Linked DNA regions of Canis lupus familiaris. The protein of the gene in region 2 interacts with the protein of the main gene of each other region in a biochemical or structural test. Links are inferred from orthologs where the notes say so. Each region holds a gene or a part of one and is shown on either strand. Other genes may lie near its edges.

Region 1 (4,320 bases), on a different chromosome or scaffold from region 2:
CTCGGGACAAGGCCAAGGGGGTCAATTCCATGTCAGTGAGACATTCAGGAGGCGTGGCAAGGCCTGCTCACAGCCCCGTGCATCCCTGTTGGGAAGATGGTGCTCCAGTGGCACTCATACCCCTTGAAGCCCCTTCTGAGCCTTTCACAGGCCCCGTGATGGGCCCTGAGCTCCCTAAAGGCCCACGACAACCCCCATCAGCCACTCTGCAGCCTGAACAGCTGGGCTGCACCGTACCCCAGGCCTTCCCTCCTCGCCTCAGGTTCAGGGGGGCAGACACTCGGGTTGTGTGCCCCCACAGGGGTCTCCTCCAGGATCCTGGGGTGCACCCAACATGCCCCTTCCTTGGGAGCCTCACTATCCTCCACCTGTACCTCTGTCTGTCCCGCCCTGGCCCTGTGGCAGAGCACCGCACACATGACCCACACCTGCGGGCGGTGGGGGGTGTCTGCGGAGCCCCCCAGTCCTGCTGACTGCACCCGGTGTGTTACAGCGAGAACGAGGCCTTGTGGCGGGAAGTGGCCAGCCTGCGGCAGAAGCACGCCCAGCAGCAGAAAGTCGTCAACAAGGTGCGCGGCGGGCCCCGGGGGGTGCCTGCAGGTCCCGTCCTCGGCTGGGCTGACTGTGCCTTTCCCCCGTAGCTCATCCAGTTCCTCATCTCCTTGGTGCAGTCGAACCGGATCCTGGGGGTGAAGAGGAAAATGTGAGGCCCAGGGGCGGGGGGGCTGCTCCTCAGCTCGGGGCCCCCGGCCACCCTGTGTCCTCTTGGCTGAGGCCTGGGTGGCCGAGGCCCGGGGGAGGCACCTGACCCCGCCCCTTCCCCCCACAGCCCCCTGATGCTGAACGACGGCAGTTCGGCACATTCCATGCCCAAGTATGGCCGGCAGTACTCCCTGGAGCACATTCACGGCTCGGGCCCCTACTCGGTGAGCACCGGGTGCAGCAGGCCTGGCCCGGGGGGGCGCGGGCAGGCGCCGCTGCGGCTCCTGCCACATAGGTCACCTCCCTTTGATGGCAGGCTCCTTCCCCGGCCTACAGCAGCTCCAGCCTCTACTCCCCAGATGCCGTCGCCAGCTCCGGACCCATCATCTCCGACATCACTGAACTGGCCCCCAGCAGTCCCTTGGCCTCCCCGGGCGGAAGCGTAGACGAGAGGTGGGGGCCTCGTCGTCCTCCCACCCGTCGGGAGAGGGGTGGGCTCACAGAGCCAGCTCCTGATGTGTGCGCCCCCACACGCAGGCCACTGTCCAGCAGCCCCGTGGTACGCGTCAAGGAGGAGCCCCCCAGCCCTCCTCGGAGCCCCCGGGTGGAGGAGGCCAGTCCTGGACACCAGTCCTCAGTCGTGGAGATACCCCTGTCCCCCACCGCCCTCATTGACTCCATCCTGCGGGAAAGCGAGCCTGCGCCCGCCGCCCCAACCACACCCCTCACGGATGCAGGGGGCCGCCGCCCCTCACCCTCGCCCCCGCCTGCCCCGGCCCCTGAGAAGTGCCTCAGCGTAGCCTGCCTGGACAAGTGAGTGCCCCCCACCCACCTCCACCACAGCCTCTGGAAGCTGGGACTGTCCTGGAGGGGCTGCTACAGGGTGGTCGTCAGGCGGCGGGCACACGGTCGCTGGAGGACGCACCAGCAGACCCGGCCCTGAGCTCAGAGCTTGCTGGGCCCACGTCCCCAGGGTCTCAGGAGCCAAGGGGGTGTGGCCCCGCAGGCCTGTGACACCTGCTCTCTGAGCCACTCTGGCTGCTGCTGTCACCCCTTCCTGCAACAGGCCACTGCACCTGTCCTGCTGCCCAGCAGGGGGCTTGCCCCAGAGGCCAGGCAAGCAAGGGCGGGGGGGCACGGAGTCCACCTGGCCCCCACCTGCAATCGGGGGGCTCTTGTCTTTGTATCTTGCAGTTTGGCTCGCGCTCCACAGATGTCTGGGGTCGCCCGCCTCTTCCCCTGCCCCTCCTCTCTGCATGGCCGAGTCCAGCCAGGGTTAGCGCCGTCCCCACTGGGGAGGGAGGAGGGCTCCGCCAGAGCTCAGGCCCCTCCCCAGCCTCGGACCAGACCCTGGCCTGGCCATGAGCACTCGGCCCTGCCCGGTGAACAGGCGCCGGGCCCTCTGCAGCGGGGGGCAACCCCCACCCCAGGCTCTGGGGCCTGAGCCAGTGGCCCAGGTCGCCGACTGACCAGGATGGGCCTCCCAGCCTGGCAGCTGCCACCGGTGCAGCCGAGGCCCTGGCTGCTGTGTGCACTGGCTTCCTCGCAGGGCGGGGAGGGGTGAGGCGGGGCCCCAAGGACACCACCCAGAGTCGGCCTGGTGGCCGCCCGTCTAGTGGCCCAGGGCCTTCTTGGCCACAGCCTCCTGACCCAGGCCTCTTTCCCAGCATGCACGGGGGCACACACACGCGTGCACACGTCGGACCAGCCCTCCGCACCCTGCTGCAGTTCCCCCTCCCTGTCCCTACCGCCTTCCAATGGAAAGGCAAGACCTTGTCAAGCCTTGAAAACTGCCCCCAGCCCGTCCTGCACACTGAACCCCTCCTGCCCCCTCCCCACCGCCACGTTGGCCCTGTGTGAAGTGCCTCCAGAGGCCTTACTGGGCCTCACGGTGACATGCCGGTGGCGTGGCCTGAGCTACCGTCCCCGCCGTGGCCAAGGCTCTGGCCCTTTTCCCGCACACGCTGTGCAGCGGGGCCCCCCCGGGAGCCCAGGCAGGGTGGGGCGTCGCTACGGGCAGCCCCTCTCGGATGGCGGGTGTGAGCACCGGCAGGAAGGCATCCGGCTGGGGGTGCCTAGAGCCCCACTTTACCTGCCCCACCCACTCCGGCTAGGACGGAGCTCAGTGACCACCTGGACGCCATGGACTCCAACCTGGACAACCTGCAGACCATGCTGACGAGCCACGGCTTCAGCGTGGACACGAGCGCCCTACTGGACGTGAGTCCCTCCCCTCCCCTCCCCTCCCCTCCCCGCGGGCTGCGGGCTCCCAGTGTGGCCTGACTGCCCTCCCTCCCCGCAGCTGTTCAGCCCCTCCGTGACGGTGCCCGACATGAGCCTGCCCGACCTTGACAGCAGCCTGGCCAGCGTGCGTAGGCAGGGAGGGGGGCAGGGGCCTGGGGCGGGGTGGGCCGGCAAGCCGGAGCCTCACTCTGCCCCCTGCTCCCCAGCAGATCCAGGAGCTCCTCTCCCCCCAGGAGCCACCCAGGCCTCTTGAGGCAGAGAACAGCAGCCCTGACTCAGGTGAGCCAAGCCCCGAGCCCATGCCCGCCCCGCCCGTGCCCCCCACACCTGTGCCCTGACCCAGCCCCCACCCCCAGGGAAGCAGCTGGTGCACTACACGGCGCAACCCCTGTTCTTGGTGGACCCGGGCTCCGTGGATATGGGAAGCAGCGACCTGCCCGTGCTCTTCGAGCTGGGGGAGGGTTCCTACTTCTCCGAGGGGGACGACTACACAGATGACCCCACCATCTCCCTGCTGACGGGCTCTGAGCCCCCGAAAGCCAAGGACCCCACTGTCTCCTAGAGGCCCCAGGAGGAAGGCTGGCCAAGGGCTAGGCGTGGACCCCGGTCGGCAGCGAGGGCCACAGCCCTGTGTGCCTGGCTGGCTTGAGGCTTTACAGCCACCTTGGACTGACCAGCACTGCGGGGATTCAGTCAGGATTGGATTTTGGGTTTTTACACGAGAGTCCCCCTCACCCCTTCAATAGAGATATACACACACACGGACAGACGGACGGACGAGACTGGCAGAGACCTATAAAGGACAGACTGTACGCTGTGGCCTCCCGCGTGTTTCCTCCCGCCACCCCCAGGTGGGGAGGGGGTGGGGGGCTTGGCCGTGGTGGCCGCCTTGGAGGGAAGGCAGATGTCCAGAGCAGAGCTGTGCGCACCTCACTCCACAGGAACCGTGTGGCTCACAATTCTTTATTAAAGGATGGGACGGGGGCAGTGGGATGGACCCGCTGGAACACCCTCCCCACAAGGGGACCGGGGCGGGGGGGTGAAGAGCGTGGACGGGCACGCCATGTGTATCTTCCTGGCACAGCCGTCCCTGCTCTTAACGCGGTCTCAAGGCACTGGGCTGATTTGGGAGCAGGGGAGGGGTGGGGGGCAACAGACCAGAGCAGCCCACCTGATGCTCTGTGCCCCCGGCGTCCGTCCCCTACCCCCCATCCTCAGCACGGCCCAGGGTGACAGCTACCAGGAGGCAGGGGCTGCAGGGCTCTTGAGGCCACCACCCAGGCACCTTGTCACACCCCTGCCTTGGCCGCAGGGTCTTTAGTAGAGAGAGCCCACCGGCCGAGGTAGGCTGTCCCCACCTCTCAGGCTTGGCAG
Region 2 (3,809 bases):
CCGCTGCGCCACCCAGGGATCCCCGAATTGTCTTTTTAAATGTAAATTTCAAATCATTCAAATTTCTACTTTTTCTTATTAGAGGCCATGAAGAATTAATTTTTCTTGCAAGAATTGTAAAGAAGTTAACATCTCTATTTTGAGAGCTTGTGGTCTTTGATATGAAATATCACTATGTAAATAGACTTATTACAAAGACACTTACTTTCATCATCACTGTCTTGTGAATCCTGCAGAAAGAAGAATTTCAAAAGTTACCAAGTTGATCAAACATTCCTCTACTAACTGAACAGTTTGCCTTAAAAAGCTGAAGCACTGTACTTTCACTAAAGTAGTAAAGATATGTGGTTATATTAAGCTTATGAATATAATCACTGAACTTAACAGGTTTACTTAAGATGAAGAGACATAATTGCTGAGGATCTACCTTCCTGTACAGTGTGTGCCTTTTGATGGGAATTGGTGCTCATCCCTTAAATTCCTGACTTATCTTGGTATAAAATGGTTTCTCTTTTCCCTTGGCATTCAATGGAAGAGGAAAACAGCTCACTGTGAAAACTACTGGACTGATACAAGACAAAATGAATTCCAATCCTAGCTATTGAGTTGTCTACATATTTTTCAAACTGTACCGAACAACTTTCTTGAAGATGTTAGCAGGATGCCAACAGGGGGAATGTTGAGAAAAGTGATCCAGTTTATCCTTAAAGATTCAGAAAGGTCCATCTACTTTATGGTTTCTGATCAATCCTGCTGCAAAACCTGTTTAACTTAGTCAAGATAATCTCTAAGCTAATTCTTAATTGAATACGGCATATGATGTCTCCATGCAGTGATTCTCTTGAAATCTGGTCCTTTGAAGAATGGTCCATGGGACATCTATTCCCTAGTAGATACCTATCCTTCAAAAATGAGCACATTTCAAAATTGCTTTTCCCTGTATTTCTTAGGGAAAAAACCCAACAAGAAGTGGCAAAAAAGCAATCCTGAATCTATATAAAACAACCTATAAATACATTGTTTCTTACTATTTAAGTAAACAGAGAAAAGAATTTATAGACTTACATCATCTGCTCCATCTACTTCTGGTAAATCTACATCCTCATCACCACCCATGTTGTTCATCATCTATTTGAAGTGTAAAAATTAGTTTTAAAAATGATGTTAAATTAAGCCCTAGTTATTAGAGGTTGCAAGCTCCAGAATACACCTTAAGTCTGTCATAGATTTCCACCAATAAAAAAAGCAAAACAAATGTTAAGTACCTTCCTTGCTGGAAAAGGTAGATTTTTATAGGTAATTACATAAAATCTTGACAACTTATAGGGAAGACTAAGTTCTCATTGAAGAAAAGTGAAGTTAGTAAAATTTATCTAGCAAATATTTATCTATGATGCAGAAATTAAACACCGAAATCCTGAAGAGTGCTTACCTCTGGTGCCTAAGGAAAAGAATGGGATTCATTTGTAGTTGTAAAGCTTTGTATATCTTAAGCTAAGTGGCATGTGTATTATAAAGACCCTCAGGATGATTACATTGTATAAAAGGCCTGAATCCTAAATCAAAGACTGAACAGCAGTAACATGTTAAAAACAGAAAATAAACATAATTCTTGAAATAAAAGGTACATATACTATGGAGAATAATACCCTTGTGTATGTACTCTTGTATACTCACAAGATGTTGGGACTAACAACACAGCATACTTACATGAAATACTAACTTACTATCTTTAATTTCTTTTCTTTTTTTTTTTACTATCTTTAATTTCTGATCACAAATCAAGCAGTATATTATTTAAAAAGATACAAAAAATCAAACTAAAAACAGATGGGGAGGGACTTCTCTCTTCAAGGACAACTTTTCTGTTAATTTTTTAAATTTTAAAATATTCACATAATCATACATAACTTTATAAACAAAAAATTAAAGCTTCAAAAATCTATGCTTACCTCCACTTTAGAGTTAGAAGGGCCCTTTAAAAGCTACCTAATCCTCAAATTGCTCAGTATAAAAGTTCTGGGCAACCTGGTGTTGAATAATATGAATAACTAATAAAGTTTCCCTACAGTACTGTTGAACACTTCGGTTAAGTTTCTTTGAGCAGCAAAAATGCTCAAAATGTGCCAAACACAATGCTAGCTGTTGAGGATACAATGGTAATAGAGATAGAATGAACTGAATACATTCAAGAACTATTTAAGATGTAAAACAAAAAACAGAACAAAAGATAGCTGTTAATGTTATACTAGATGGAGACAGTAAGAGAAAACAGTGTTAAGCTGTGACATGCAGAGCTGGGTAAAATGGTGGCACCAATTACTACAGGTAAGAAATACGAATAGCATAAAGAGAATCTTCCAATCTTCCCTTTCCTCTTTAAATTGAAATCAAGGTGCCAGAACCATGTGAGATGTTGAATAAGCAGTTGCATACATGACACTGGGAATTCATTCCTTTTAGCCCTTAATTTTCAAAGAAGGGTTATAAACAAAACCTAGTCAATTAAAATTTCAAATAGCCATGAAATGGATCTCATCTTCAACTTACAACCTAATATTCTGTTTTTCTTTTTTTTTTTTTAAATCTTTATTTTTTTTAATTTTTTTTAATTTATTTATTTATGATAGTCACAGAGAGAGAAAGAGAGAGAGAGGCAGCGACATAGGCAGAGGGAGAAGCAGGCTCCCATGCACCGGGAGCCCGATGTGGGATTCGATCCCAGGTCTCCAGGATCGCACCCTGGGCCAAAGGCAGGCGCCAAACTGCTGCACCACCCAGGGATCCCAATATTCTGTTTTTCTAATCAGGTTTACTGCAGTACATTTATTTCATAAGGCTTAGTCTACCTAAAGGGAGATCAATGATTTTCCCCCCCCTTTGGCCATGCAATATGTATTTGGATGACATCTTGGAAAAAAAAGGCTTACTTTAATCCTTAATTTTGCGAACTAAAACATCCTTACACACCACTCATCATGCACATCTCACTACCATTTTTCTGTTTAAAGTTTATATTCATATTACATGGCTCTAAAATGCAAAGTAATCCATGCTCAAAAAAAAAAAAAAAAAAAATCAGGGCAGCCCCGGTGGCGCAGCGGTTTAGCACCGCCTACAGCCTGGGGTGTGATCCTGGAGATCCGGGGATCGCGTCCCATGTCGGGTTCCCTGCATGGAGCCTGCTTCTCCCTCTGCCTGTGTCCCAGCCATTCTCTCTCTCTCTCTCTCTCTCTCTCTAAATAAATAAAATTAAAAAAAAAAAATCCGTTTCAATACTAGAATAACAACTGGCTGTAAAAACAAACAAACCAACACCCCACCCCCCAAAACTAGTTATATTTGCATTGACAATACGGTTTATTTTTGTCTGTATACAAGTTTAGAACTTACCACTAATTTTTAAAAGAATTATAAAAGAATGTTAAACTTTAGGATAAAATGATCATTGTTAAGATCTTACTTTGTTTTGCTGCAGAATGACCTTTAAAGTAAAAAAAAAATTAGGTCTTAAGTACCACTAAGGTGCTTTAAAACCAAATTAAATTCACATAGAAATGTACTGAGAGGTGGTAAAATGCGCTTATAGGAACTTACCTCAGAGAAACGATCAAAATTAGACATGTCTTCATCTGAATCATCTTCCCAGTCTTTCCAATTATTGAAGTCCACACTAAGCCAATTAAGCTATAGATCAATACAAACATCTTGTAATTAGGTTAACTTATACGTACAGGTATGTATGTATGTACCTTAAACAATATTTTTGGGACTGTAGGTTCATACTAATGAGGCATGGAATTAACAAA

The links.
Region 1: the proteins of PTGES3 (region 2) and HSF1 form a complex in vitro, tested with the Homo sapiens proteins (2 studies listed by BioGRID). The link is inferred for Canis lupus familiaris from reciprocal best matches to the Homo sapiens genes PTGES3 and HSF1.

Annotation. Positions count from the first base shown.
Region 1 is NC_049234.1:38,494,839-38,499,158, forward strand, and holds the end of HSF1 (heat shock factor protein 1), read left to right. Parts: intron 1-493; coding exon 494-569; intron 570-641; coding exon 642-703; intron 704-829; coding exon 830-926; intron 927-1,018; coding exon 1,019-1,155; intron 1,156-1,239; coding exon 1,240-1,515; intron 1,516-1,896; coding exon 1,897-1,977; intron 1,978-2,816; coding exon 2,817-2,922; intron 2,923-3,004; coding exon 3,005-3,070; intron 3,071-3,152; coding exon 3,153-3,225; intron 3,226-3,302; coding exon 3,303-3,508; 3' UTR 3,509-3,758; downstream 3,759-4,320. UniProt on the Homo sapiens protein: Functions as a stress-inducible and DNA-binding transcription factor that plays a central role in the transcriptional activation of the heat shock response (HSR), leading to the expression of a large class of molecular chaperones, heat shock proteins (HSPs), that protect cells from cellular insult damage.
Region 2 is NC_049231.1:1,239,472-1,243,280, forward strand, and holds part of PTGES3 (prostaglandin E synthase 3), read right to left. Parts: intron 3,688-3,809; coding exon 3,598-3,687; intron 1,129-3,597; coding exon 1,066-1,128; intron 231-1,065; coding exon 206-230; intron 1-205. UniProt on the Homo sapiens protein: Cytosolic prostaglandin synthase that catalyzes the oxidoreduction of prostaglandin endoperoxide H2 (PGH2) to prostaglandin E2 (PGE2).